2 linked regions of the Caenorhabditis elegans genome follow. The protein of the gene in region 2 interacts with the protein of the main gene of each other region in a biochemical or structural test. Each region holds a gene or a part of one and is shown on either strand. Other genes may lie near its edges.

The links. The genes of interacting proteins can lie anywhere in the genome.
Region 1: the proteins of fbf-1 (region 2) and gld-3 form a complex in vitro, tested with the Caenorhabditis elegans proteins (one study listed by BioGRID).

What each region holds. Positions count from the first base shown.
Region 1 is NC_003280.10:7,130,670-7,138,026, forward strand, and holds gld-3 (Defective in germ line development protein 3), read left to right. Parts: upstream 1-1,973; coding exon 1,974-2,098; intron 2,099-2,146; coding exon 2,147-2,228; intron 2,229-2,269; coding exon 2,270-2,380; intron 2,381-2,425; coding exon 2,426-2,496; intron 2,497-2,538; coding exon 2,539-2,704; intron 2,705-2,748; coding exon 2,749-2,877; intron 2,878-2,921; coding exon 2,922-3,041; intron 3,042-3,087; coding exon 3,088-3,165; intron 3,166-3,209; coding exon 3,210-3,347; intron 3,348-3,394; coding exon 3,395-3,637; intron 3,638-3,685; coding exon 3,686-3,784; intron 3,785-3,832; coding exon 3,833-4,001; intron 4,002-4,143; coding exon 4,144-4,266; intron 4,267-4,310; coding exon 4,311-4,379; coding exon of another isoform or gene 4,380-4,468; exon of another isoform or gene 4,469-4,658; intron 4,659-4,714; coding exon 4,715-4,792; intron 4,793-4,836; coding exon 4,837-5,076; intron 5,077-5,123; coding exon 5,124-5,550; intron 5,551-5,669; coding exon 5,670-6,042; intron 6,043-6,086; coding exon 6,087-6,135; and 4 more. Other genes in the region: T07F8.4 (ELM2 domain-containing protein), read right to left, coding at 28-205, 247-308, 361-713, 761-956, 1,006-1,115, 1,158-1,214, 1,266-1,347. UniProt on the Caenorhabditis elegans protein: Required maternally for germline survival and embryogenesis. Forms a complex with gls-1 which promotes the oogenic cell fate by freeing the translational repressor fbf to repress sperm promoting factors.
Region 2 is NC_003280.10:6,077,761-6,082,751, reverse strand, and holds fbf-1 (Fem-3 mRNA-binding factor 1), read left to right. Parts: upstream 1-1,908; 5' UTR 1,909-2,031; coding exon 2,032-2,073; intron 2,074-2,119; coding exon 2,120-2,353; intron 2,354-2,401; coding exon 2,402-2,571; intron 2,572-2,623; coding exon 2,624-2,876; intron 2,877-2,919; coding exon 2,920-3,533; intron 3,534-3,581; coding exon 3,582-3,710; intron 3,711-3,755; coding exon 3,756-3,959; intron 3,960-4,003; coding exon 4,004-4,202; 3' UTR 4,203-4,489; downstream 4,490-4,991. Other genes in the region: H12I13.6 (uncharacterized protein), read right to left, coding at 4,517-4,668, 4,742-4,817. UniProt on the Caenorhabditis elegans protein: RNA-binding protein that binds to the consensus sequence 5'-UGUGCCAUA-3' in mRNA 3'-UTRs. Involved in the control of stem cells and sex determination in the C.elegans hermaphrodite germline.

The DNA.
Region 1 (7,357 bases), 1.1 Mb from region 2:
AAAAAGTAAAAAAATAGTTCCCTAGTTTTAGTTCGTAAGAGTTGATGGCTCCTCTGAAGTAGATGGCTCGGAGAAGGAGGCTTCAACAAATCCAGTTTGACCATTTTGATCTTCCAGTTGAGCTACTTGCTGATGCCATGCAGCAGATAAATGAGGCTGAACTACTGGCGCATGCTGTGGATGAGCGTCCCGCCAAACTCGATAGCTGAAATAAATTATTAAAATTTGAAATCGTCGTTCTCTCACCCAGGGGTTAATTTCCATTGATAGTAGTATTCGATAAGTTCTCCAACTTTCCGGTAGGGTAGCTAAAATAAAACATTATGAAAACTTTTTGAATTTGCAAAATATACAACTAACCCGTAGTCTCCTTATCAGCGAAAAATCTTTTCCATACAGCTCGAGTGACTCTTCAAATGCCTTTGCTTCACTCTCATCGAATCCCAATGCATCTGAGCGAACAGTGCGGAATGGGGCATTTATATGAGGAAAAGGGAATGATTCTTTCGCCTTTTCTGTGTCAAAGTTGCTTCTATACAAAGCACATAGAGCGTCCTCGTCGTCTCGTGATTCGGTGCCAGCTGGTGGACATGGTTGGTCGTGGGCTTTTCGTAAGCCTACTACATCTTTGAGATAGTTGTCAATAACTTCATCACTTGGCTGATTCGTCTGATCAATTGTCCATAAAATAGTGTCATCTTCTCGAGCAGATTCTGAAGAAATAAATCGATATAGAATCAAAAATCAGATCATTGCTTACCTTCAACCGTTGCTTCATTAAAAAGCGGGACGTCGGCTTGGAAAAGTACTGGATCCACACGAATACTTCTTTTCCATGGGTCTGGCGGTGGTGCATAGTCGTCATCATCGTCGTCGAAGCCACTCATTGAATTACCCATATCGAAAATTGTTGAGTCGTGCGGTTCTGCAGCAGCCGAACTTGATTCCCCTACATTCTGAAAAATATAAACATTTTATAATTTCACTTTATCATTTGTAAATTACTTCTTCGGCGATTTCCGTATCTTCATTGTTTGCAGATGAATTTTCCGCTGGACGATAGCCATACTTACGTTGAAGTTCTTCAATTGACATTTCTCCCTCATCTTCCAAGTCTGAAAAGAAAAATGAGTCAGAAGCAAATTAAAGAAATTCACCTTTCAATTCATCTTCGTAGTCCCCTTCATCTAGAAGCTCCTCCTCTTCAATTGTCGCTGGAAAACCATACGTTGAAGAAATTTGAAAAAATATATATATAAGCATACCTTCATAGTCTTCGCCATTATCATTATCGTCTACATAATCTTCTTCATCAGTGATAGACGAACGAGAACCCTCTTCATCCATATTCAAAGCCTGGAAACTAACAAAAGTTGTATTAAAAACGGAAAAAGCGAAAATAAGTTAAAGCGGTTTGCGCGTCGACTAAGACGTAATTCTCTGTGTGCGGTGTTTGCGGACTTGTTTACAGTAGCTCGCAAAATAAAAAATGATGCAAAGCCAATGGGTGTTTCTAAAAAAGGGGAAGTTAATTTTGAAAAAGTAGAAAGCAACACAGATATAACAAAATAGTATAACAATTTATTAAAATGTAATTCAAATGTTCAGTCTGTTAAATGAAGCCGCCCCTAATATTAGGCAGCTAATCAAATTTAAAAAGTACAGTAACCAAGAAAGTTTTCAGAAAGGCGCATTACCGAAATCGAGCAGGTCTTACAACGTTCTTCAAGGAGATTGTTTGGCGCCCAATTCCTCGAACACACGTTCAGCGTGATTTTCAGTGTGTTTTCTCATTTGTTTTCGTGCAATTTCATCCTTATAATGCTAATATTATCTGTAATTAATCGTTCCACGATGATACTAATACCAGTAACATCGACGGAGGCACTGACGATCATTTATAAAATATTTGAAACTCAAAAAATTTACTGAGCAAACGCTTTAGTGTTAGAAACAAGATTTCAATTTTGCAGATGGGGGAGCAAAGCCATGAAAAAGATCATGATGAAGCGCACTCCTACAATCCATTCGTTCGCTCTGCCGTTGAATACGATGCTGACACACGCCTCCAAATGGCAGAAAATGCGGCATCTGCAAGGTATTAAATATGGTTTACGCTTACAACATTCTAATACTCCGATTTTAGAAAACTATTTGTATCGTCTGCCCTCAAAGATATTATCGTGAATCCTGAAAACTTCTATCATGATTTCCAGCAATCTGCACAGGTAAAGGCAACAACTTGTTATGTTACAGTCAAACAATTCAGATGGCGGAGGATGCTAATCAGAGACGACAGGTGTCATACAACACGAAACGAGAGGCTCATATTCATCAGCTAAAAGCGCAAGGATTGCCTCTGCCGTCAAATATACCAATGGTTTGACTGCTTCACATTCCACTGATTAACTGATTCAACATTTAGATCGAGATTAACCCAACTAGAGTAACCCTCAATATGGAGTTTGAATCCCAATACTATTCACTAATGACCAGGTTAGTTCACCAGTTAAGCGAAAGAAATTGTATTCATTTCAGTGACAACGGGGATCACGAGAATGTCGCGTCAATCATGGCAGAAACTAACACCCTCATTCAACTTCCCGATCGTTCTGTCGGAGGAACTACACCTGATCCATTTGCACAGCAAGTAACCATCACTGGATACTTTGGTGACGTGGATAGAGCACGAATGTTGATGAGAGTACGTTCAACTCTGATTATATGAATAATGTTCGTATTTTACAGAGAAACTGTCATTTTACAGTTTTTATGGCACTGTCAAAAATGAAGATGCCACTTCACGAACTTCAGGCACATGTCAGACAGAACCCCATTCAAAATGTGGAAATGTCTTTCGTCGATGCTCCAGAAAAGGCAAGCCGATTTAGCTAGTAACCAACAGTATTAATTTTCTTCAGAATGGAATCGTCACAACCTATCTTCGTATCACCGCCCGCGAAAAGAATCAGCATGAACTGATCGAAGCTGCAAAACGACTGAATGAAATACTTTTCCGCGAGTCTCCGGCACCGGAGAATGTTAGCAGATAAACTGAATATATATCCTGAACATTTTGTTTTTCAGAATTTCACTCTCCATTTCACATTGTCAACATACTACGTGGATCAAGTTCTTGGAAGTTCATCGACGGCGCAACTCATGGTTTGGCTAAAGGATATTTCTATTACATCAGCATTAAATTTCAGCCTGTAATCGAGAGGGAGACAACGACAATAATTAGTTATCCATGTTACAATAATCGAAACGAAACTCGTGGAAATATTTATGAAATTAAAGTTGTTGGGAACATTGACAATGTTCTTAAAGCCAGGAGATACATAATGGTGAGGAGTATGAATACATAGAAAGATATACACTCGAGAATTTACAGGACCTCCTTCCTATTTCGATGTGTTTCAACATTAAAAATACTGATATGGCAGAACCGAGCAGAGTTTCTGATCGGAACATACACATGATTATTGATGAGAGTGGGATTATTCTTAAAATGACTCCTTCCGTGTATGAGCCCGCGGATCTACTGTCAGGAGAGGTTCCGTTGAACTGTGCCAGTCTTCGTTCGAAGGAGTTTAACATAAAGAAGCTGTACACCGCTTATCAAAAAGTTCTCTCGGTAAGCGCACGTCTCTCTGAAATGAGATTAAGAACAAGTAATTTTCAGAAAAAATTTGATTTCATTGCTCCACAACCAAATGATTATGACAACTCCATCTGGCATCATTCTCTTCCGGCAAACTTTTTGAAAAATTTCAATATGCCGGTTAGTCATGTTTATTTTACATTTTAGTTCAAAACGAGATTTTTTCAGTGTCGGGGTGAACTTTCTGATGGTTCAAACGGTCGTCGTCATAGAAGCTCATCAATAGCTTCTTCTCGTTCCAAACACAGTTACATGAGCAAAGGAAAACAATTTTCTGAGTCGTCTGGGGGTCCATCAAGGTCTCACACAAGAGTATCTTCGTTTTCCGAAAATTCATGTGAGCAATTTGCCTTTTATGATTGTAAATAGTACACACAAATTATACTATAAAATTATTTAAGAAAAGCATATCAAATTTATTTAAATAACAATGATAATAATATTACTACAGAGTGCTTTAAAATCAGGAAATTTTGCAGCAACCGTCCCTATTATGCAATTTCCAACGCCACATTTTGCACCACCAATGTTAACTCCTCATCATCACATGCTGAAATACGTCTATTTGCAGCAACATCAGCAAGCTCAGACATTTTTGAAAGGTTGCTATTATATATTTTGTTTCGACAATCATACAAGCTTTCAGGTGCAGCTGGATTACATCCTGGCACACATATCATGTTCCCTCCACCGATCATCGTCGATGGATCCTTTGGTGCGCGTTATTCTTCAAATATTTATCCATTTTCTTACATAGTTCCACAGAACTTTAACTTTTTGAACGGAAATTTCGGTCACCTTTAGAAGATCTCTCGTCATGTTATATATTCATCGTGTAAAATGAGCTCTTCATGAAAAATTTGCCAAATTCTGGATAGTTTTAAGCCACAAAATTTTCTCTTGTTCCTCCTACCGCCACTATGTAATATTTGTCTTTTCACCCGGTTGTGATGATCTTATTACGTAAATTCAACCACAATAAAGCGTTTAGCTTCCATCAATATTCTATGTCTTCGTAAAAATTATCATTATTGAAATTTTGTGTTTCAGTGTCTGCTCTGCCATTTGCGGATCCTGTAGTATTTGATGGTTTTCCTTATGTCCACGGATTGTTTCCGGTAAATGAAGGTTGGTTTATTCGTTCAAAGCATCATTGCAACAATCACTTTCAGCCGAACAACACAGAAATCACCGTGAATCATCACCATCTCTACGATCAACACAAGAAATCAGAAAACCGTCTAGAAACATGGGAAATCGACCATCATCGAGCACAGGTTCTTATTATCCATCGACAACACCTCGTCAACGTGTTTACGAACAAGTTCGAGAAGATGATCTTCGTTCACATATTGGTTCAAGAAGAACATCAGTGAATGGAGACGATCAGAATGTTGAAAGCATGCACGACCGTAAGACTATGACAATAATAAAATTGATAAAATCATAATTATTACAGAAGGATATGAAAGACAGTACCCACGACAGCATCAAAGACTTCAGAAGGATGATCAACAACGCTGGAAGACAGGAAGTCGTGGAGATATTCACTCAAGTAGAACAATTAATGTGCACAGAGACGTTCGCAATTCCAATGAATACGACTTTCATGTGGGAAATTCTGGGCCAGCTAAGAGGTCCCCGTCTTTGGAACAAGTACAATTGCAAATGACACACCACTTGAAGTTGAAATCGAATGATGTTGATTTGGATCATGAAAAGCTTTATATGCATGAGTCACCGCACAATGATTCTGATACTACAGTTTCTGCAAGTGGCTTCGGAAATGATTTAATGGATGGAGACTTTGTTCAGAGATTCCTATCCAATGCAAATATCAATGAATCGGGAAGAAGACCAAGAACAGTTAGCTGTTTTACCGAGAAGTACGTTTTTAAAGTTGAAATTAAAAGAGTTTATAGCTTTTCGTTTACATCATAAATGAGCATTTTTAATTTGCAAAAAATACATATTTAAGCATTCATATAATCAAAACATTTTACAGAGATGGTCAATCCGCCCGATACATCGATTCTGATGGTGCATACAGCGTTGTTGATCATGCATCCACACATCAATCTCGTTCATATGATAGCTTCAGAAAAGTTGGCGACAACGGAGTCACAAAAACCATATTGGAACCACGTGCTCGAGTAGAGAAAGATTATGGCAAAATAAGCCTAGAACACAAGACGAAATACTCAAATGAGTACGGTGATGAAGAGAAGTCAGCAGAAAATGATACGTCTTCGTTGGGATCTAGACAATACAGAATTGATCCAATGAAGTTAATAGCTAGTGTTCGTGAATCGAGTGAGCAACTACCACGTATTCATGAAAGGCAGTTTAGCGATGTTCTGAATGAAAAAGAAAAAGAGGCAAGTAGTCTATTGGCTTGCCATAATTATCTGTAAAGCTTCAGATCGCCGACAAAAGTATTGAATCTACAGTAACCCAAGATCTTTCGTTAGGTTTGTAAATCCACAATTGGCTAATTAACATACATATATTTCAGACGAAACATCTACATATTGAGAAATCGGGATTTTTCCAATAGCTTCTTCTACTTCTTACATCAATTTTCGCTATATATGAACCCTATTTGTGCATATCGTATACGGCTCCATCAATTTTTATCTTACAAACCATCCATTTGCCTGTCGAGAATATCTTTGTATCCACGGGACTTATACGACTAGGCCGATGGTTGGTGCTTAGCCTTCACAGTTCTACACTTATTTTAACCGAAATTATTTTCCAATTCTTCCCGTATTATTTCATTGTTGTCACCTCTTCGTTCGTCATTTTTCTATCTTTTCATTCCTTTTGCAGACGTTGGAAGCATAGGTAACATGAAAAATTAAATGAATTCACAATGAAATTCAGAATTTTCGTGCATCTATACTTCCAATTGCAATTTATGGCACTGTCGATGTTCCCTTCCCTATATTTAATGTTCTTCCTTTTTTCTCCCATAATTCCCAGTTGTTTTTGATCGCAATATTGTCCCGGGTCCCATCATATCTAGGTTTGTTTCAATGTATTCCATCTTTCCTTTCTTTTTTCATCACTTCATATACACTACCACTTTTATTGTCTTTTCTTTTTTTTTCGTCATTCAACTAGGATTTCATTAGCAGTTTATCCCAATTTCCTCTACAGTTCTGTTTATAAATGAAAGAATTGCGGAAATATTGTTGTTAATCACATCTTATCGTCCGACAACTTTCGATTCAGCAAGGACATGTTCATTGATAATGTTCTAAATTTCTAATATGGAAAGTCTCTTGGTCGTTCAAATCCTCGCCATAGTCTTCATACAAGTGGAAGATTTTGATTTTAGAAAGACTAAAATTAATTCGTCTCACTTGAATGTAGCGATAAAAGGATAGAAGAAACAAAAAAATTTTTCCTGAATTTCCCTGAATCGATACACTTTCTCCATATAATCGTAAAGCGAGGTCTCTCTTTTTTCTTGAAACGGACTGTCCATTGGAGGCACTTATTTCTTGAAATGAGCCAATCTTCGACCGCCTGACTCTACTCACTCCATAATTTCATCTGCATCATCTTCTTTTCCCAAACCAAAAAATGTGTATTCTTATTCAAAACGACGCTTGTTTTTTTTAATACGGAAAGAAGATTTGATGACAGACTTCCTTGGATTTTTCGTTAATATGTATATGTGTAAAT
Region 2 (4,991 bases):
TGGCGTACTCAAAATTAAAATCAAATTCTGAAATTTCTGAGCCTTTCTTTGCAGATGAAACGTTTTTCCCTGTTTTCCGGAAGTTCTCGAGCAACATAAATATCTACAAACTATGGAACAAACGGCCTTCATTCCGAGATGACAAACTTTTTGGTGGCAAAGGTTCTTTGGGGGCATAGTATCCAAGGAGACAAAGTATCCAGTAGACAAACTGGGGTGTATCTTGGGGGGCATATCTTTGGTGACAACCTTTTTTTCAACTAGATTTTTATATGTATTTTTCAACTAATTTTTGTTCACATTTTTCTGGAATAAGTTTTTTAATGCAATTTTCAATCGATTATCGGTTATAATTCCCTCACAATTAAATGTATGAACGATGGTCTTTTGGGAAAAGCTGTAAAAGGTCCAACTAACTTGGAATATCGTGAGGCTCTTCCTGATGGTCTGATCCTTCAGCTCCGAGGGATCACATAGGTACCTTCTGATGTTCTGATCCTTCAGAAAAGAAGGATCGTAAGGGTACCTCCTGATGGTCTGATCCTTCAGCTCCAAAGGATCACGAGGCTCTTCCTGATGTTCTGATCCTTCAGCTCCGAAGGATCACATGGGTACCTTCTGATGTTCTGATCCTTCAGATAAGAAGGATCGTAAGGGTACCTCCTGATGGTCTGATCCTTCAGCTCCAAAGGATCACGAGGCTCTTCCTGATGTTCTGATCCTTCAGCTCCGAAGGATCCGACGTCATCATCTCGAAGAATCTTACGATATTCCAAGTTAGTTGGACGTTTTACAGCATTTTCCCAAAAGATCATTGTTCATGCATTCAATTGTGAGTAGTCAAGGCCGAAAATCCATGGAAAATTGCATTTAAAAACTTATTCCAGTAAAATATGAACAAAAAATGGTCAAGAAATATATATAAAAAAACTAGTTGAAAAAGTTTGTCACCGAAGATACGCCCGGTCAGAGACAAATGGCACTTTGTCGACTGGATACCATGTCACTTTGGATACTTTGTCCCCAAAAATACCTTGCCACCCTAAAAGTTTGTCCCCTCGGAATGAGGGCCAGTTACCAGTGGCCATAATCGTGTGATTATTATTTGGGATGTTCGAAGTGTTTGCTCCGCCCTTTCTGGATCACAATAGACAATTGCTTCTTCTACTTCTTGAATGTCTCATAATTCTTCTTATTTTTATCTAATTTATTGCTTCTCCTTTCTATTTTGTATATTAACTCCCAAAAACGCCCATTCTTCCCCAAAACCATCTAAAACTTACCAATATTTCCCGATACCCCTGACAGGTTATCCTGAATAATGATTGTGATTCTCAAATTTCTTCTAATCCCGTTAATTCCCCAAATATTCGAATGTAACTTTTTTTGGAATTTTTTTGTTTTCTAGTTTATAAATAAACAATATGTTTGAAAAACAATCGTAATTTGCGTTTTAGATGGTTAAACGGTAGGAAGCTTAAGCTTCCTACAACATCCAAATACAATGCAATATTTTCTGAAATTCTAAATATCAAAACATCATCCGGAATATGGAGATTTAATGCAACTCTATAGAGGTTTATGGGGACTTAGTCTTCTGGAAATTGAATTATGTGATTATGAATTAATTTTAAAAAAACCAATCCCAATCATACGATCGTCGACGACGATCGTCCCTCGCGTCTCGCGAGAGCCAACTGGTTATAGCTTTTCGGGAGGTTTAAATGTTTTATCAATTTTATACGGTACGGTCTGGAATATTCCACAATTTTTTATCTGTTTTAACAGAGAATATCTCTCCATGGAGATGCTAAAATTTTGAGAGATAAATAAGCAAATCGCATTGTTTGAAAATTTCAATTTGGATACGGTAGACAATGACAAAGTACGCAAACACCAGAGTATGTGACACACTTTCGTCATTCTCAAATTCAATTTGAAATATTATTTTCTTATTCCTATTCTCTATTTTCTGTGAATTGATAGTTTTTCTATAAGTAACCATTCGAATAAAATTATCAACTAATCGACATGGACCAATCAAAAATGCGCTATACAAATCAGTTCAGAAAAGTTGGTTTTCAGCCATTAATATTGATAAATGGCCTAAATTTTACAGACTCCGCAAAAGCCCACATCTACAGAGGTTGGAAATCATCATACTCCCGCACATTCGCCGATGGCGCAGCATGAGACATCAATGTGGAACTTCAACTCTCTCAACCCGTATTTCTCAATGCTCAATATGAACGATGGGATGAATTATGCTCGCCATCAACAGAATCACATTGTTACATCGCGGCCACCAACCCCGCTAACTGATTTGATGAGCCTCCGGAGTTTTCAGAGCTTTGTAAGTTAGAGTAGCTAATTTTTGGTTGTTTTCATTACTGATTTGCAGCCCAATGTGTTCATGCCGGTCTCGCGTAGCCGAACTTCATCATTCATTCAGTCTGATACGGATTCCTCGCGTCTCGAGCCGGACGATTTTTCACAAAATGTCCGATATTGCTCTACCGAGATTGATCGTAACAATAGTTCTTCGAAAAATGACCATTTGAAATATTCGAGGTTCGAATTAATTTATCACTATCCTCAAGTGTTTATTCTGTTTTATTTATAGACCCGCTCTATCGAGGAACTCTAGATCATTCACAAGATCAAACAATGTGCTGCCAACCTGGTCCTTGGATTCCAATGGTGAAATGCGTTCAAGATTGTCGCTCTCTGAAGTTTTGGATAGTGGCGATTTGATGAAGTTTGCCGTTGACAAAACTGGGTGCCAGTTCCTCGAAAAGGCCGTGAAGGGCAGCCTGACATCTTATCAGAAGTTCCAATTGTTTGAACAAGTTATTGGGAGAAAAGATGATTTCCTTGTAAGTTTTAGTTTCTGCGAGCACACACGACTTTTCTTTTCAGAAATTGAGCACGAACATCTTTGGAAATTATTTCGTACAAGAAATCATTGGAATGTCATTGACAACTTATGATGACGACAACATAAAGCGACAAGAAAAGTTGAAGAACTTCATCAGTTCCCAAATGACAGATATGTGCTTGGACAAATTTGCGTGTCGTGTTATCCAATCCAGTCTCCAGAACATGGATTTATCCCTTGCGTGTAAACTTGTTCAAGCTCTACCTCGTGATGCTCGTCTTATCGCAATCTGTGTTGATCAAAATGCCAATCACGTCATTCAGAAAGTCGTAGCTGTCATCCCACTGAAGAATTGGGAGTTTATCGTGGATTTTGTTGCAACCCCAGAGCACCTCCGTCAGATTTGTTTTGATAAGTATGGGTGCCGTGTTGTGCAAACTATAATCGAAAAACTCACTGCTGATTCAATAAACGTTGATTTAACTTCCGCTGCTCAACATCTTCGTGAACGAGCACTCCAACGCCTCATGACTTCTGTGACTAATCGGTGCCAAGAATTAGCTACGAACGAGTATGCCAATTACATAATACAGCATATTGTATCCAATGATGATCTGGCCGTATATCGGGAATGTATCATAGAGAAATGCCTCATGTGAGTGTTGTTTAATATATATTTGATTTTTAATCATTAATATTTCAGGCGCAATCTTCTTTCGTTATCCCAGGAAAAGTTTGCGTCTCATGTTGTAGAGAAAGCATTCCTACATGCACCAATGGAACTTCTTGCTGAAATGATGGACGAGATTTTCGACGGATACATGCCACACCCGTAAAAATTTCGTTTCAGTCACATAAAAATTAAATTGTTTTTCAGGGGCACTGGAAAAGATGCTCTCGATATCATGATGTTCCATCAATTCGGAAACTACGTCGTTCAATGCATGCTGACTATTTGCTGTGATGCTGTGTCTGGAAGACGACAAACGAAAGAAGGGAGCTATGACCATGCAAACTCATTCCAAGTTTGGCTCAAAAAGTTGCACTCGAGAGTTACGAAAGAAAGGCATCGCTTGTCAAGGTTATCACTATTGTCACAATAATATTTTGAAATTCGAATTTCAGGTTCTCATCCGGCAAAAAGATGATCGAGACGCTTGCCCATCTCCGTTCAACTCATCCGATTTATGGACTCCAATCTTCGGGACATGAATCATTCAAGACGGATTGCTTCAGTACTGCTTCCGAACACGATGGTCTAGAGTTGGAGAAGAATGGAATCGAGGAAGGTAACCTGAGGCTCATGCGAACTTTCTCACCATAAATCTCATCCCACCCACTTATGTTCTGTTGTTTTGTAATATTTTAAACTGTTGCAATGGTTTCGTTTCGATTTTAAGATCGATGTTGTGCCATCCCCACCCTTATCATTGCCCAGTTTTGTTTTTTCTTTTCTTTTTTGTTGTTTTATTGCTTTTCATGCAGTTGTGTTATTGTTTCTTTCTGTTTATTGTTCATTGTTTTGTTTTTTTTTTTCGAATTTAATGAATCCAGATAAATTTGGACACGAAAACTCTAAAAATTAAATAAAATTATTTCAACACTAAAATAATTCATTACGCAAAAACAACAAACAAATTATTCGAAGATTTCCTCTCGTTGACGCCAGGTAGAGTTGGCGTCGTCGTTCTCCATGTAAACCATTGATGTTGGAATTGTGGGGCGAGCCTCCACGCCTGGCGGTGGTCTTCTCGGTGCGAACATCATCGACCCACCAATCTCCTCTTCGACTGAAAACACAGAGTATTTAAAATAAAATGAGAATGAAAGGTAAGTTCCTCCCAATTACTTCAGTAAACTCGCCTTTTTTAGCCTTAAATTTTCCGCAGTTCACCAATACGGCAGCAGTGAGAATAACAGAACAGACGAGAAACAGCATCTGTAAATAAATTTGATTTCAATCTCTACTCTTCAGCACTTATACTATAAGTGTTGTACTTCTATGAGTTTCATTGGATAAGTGTCTATTCGGAATAGTCTCGCTGCACTTTATTCTCTACAGTAATCTTACATTAGAGTATACGCGAGAAATGGAGAGTGCTGCGAGAACTAG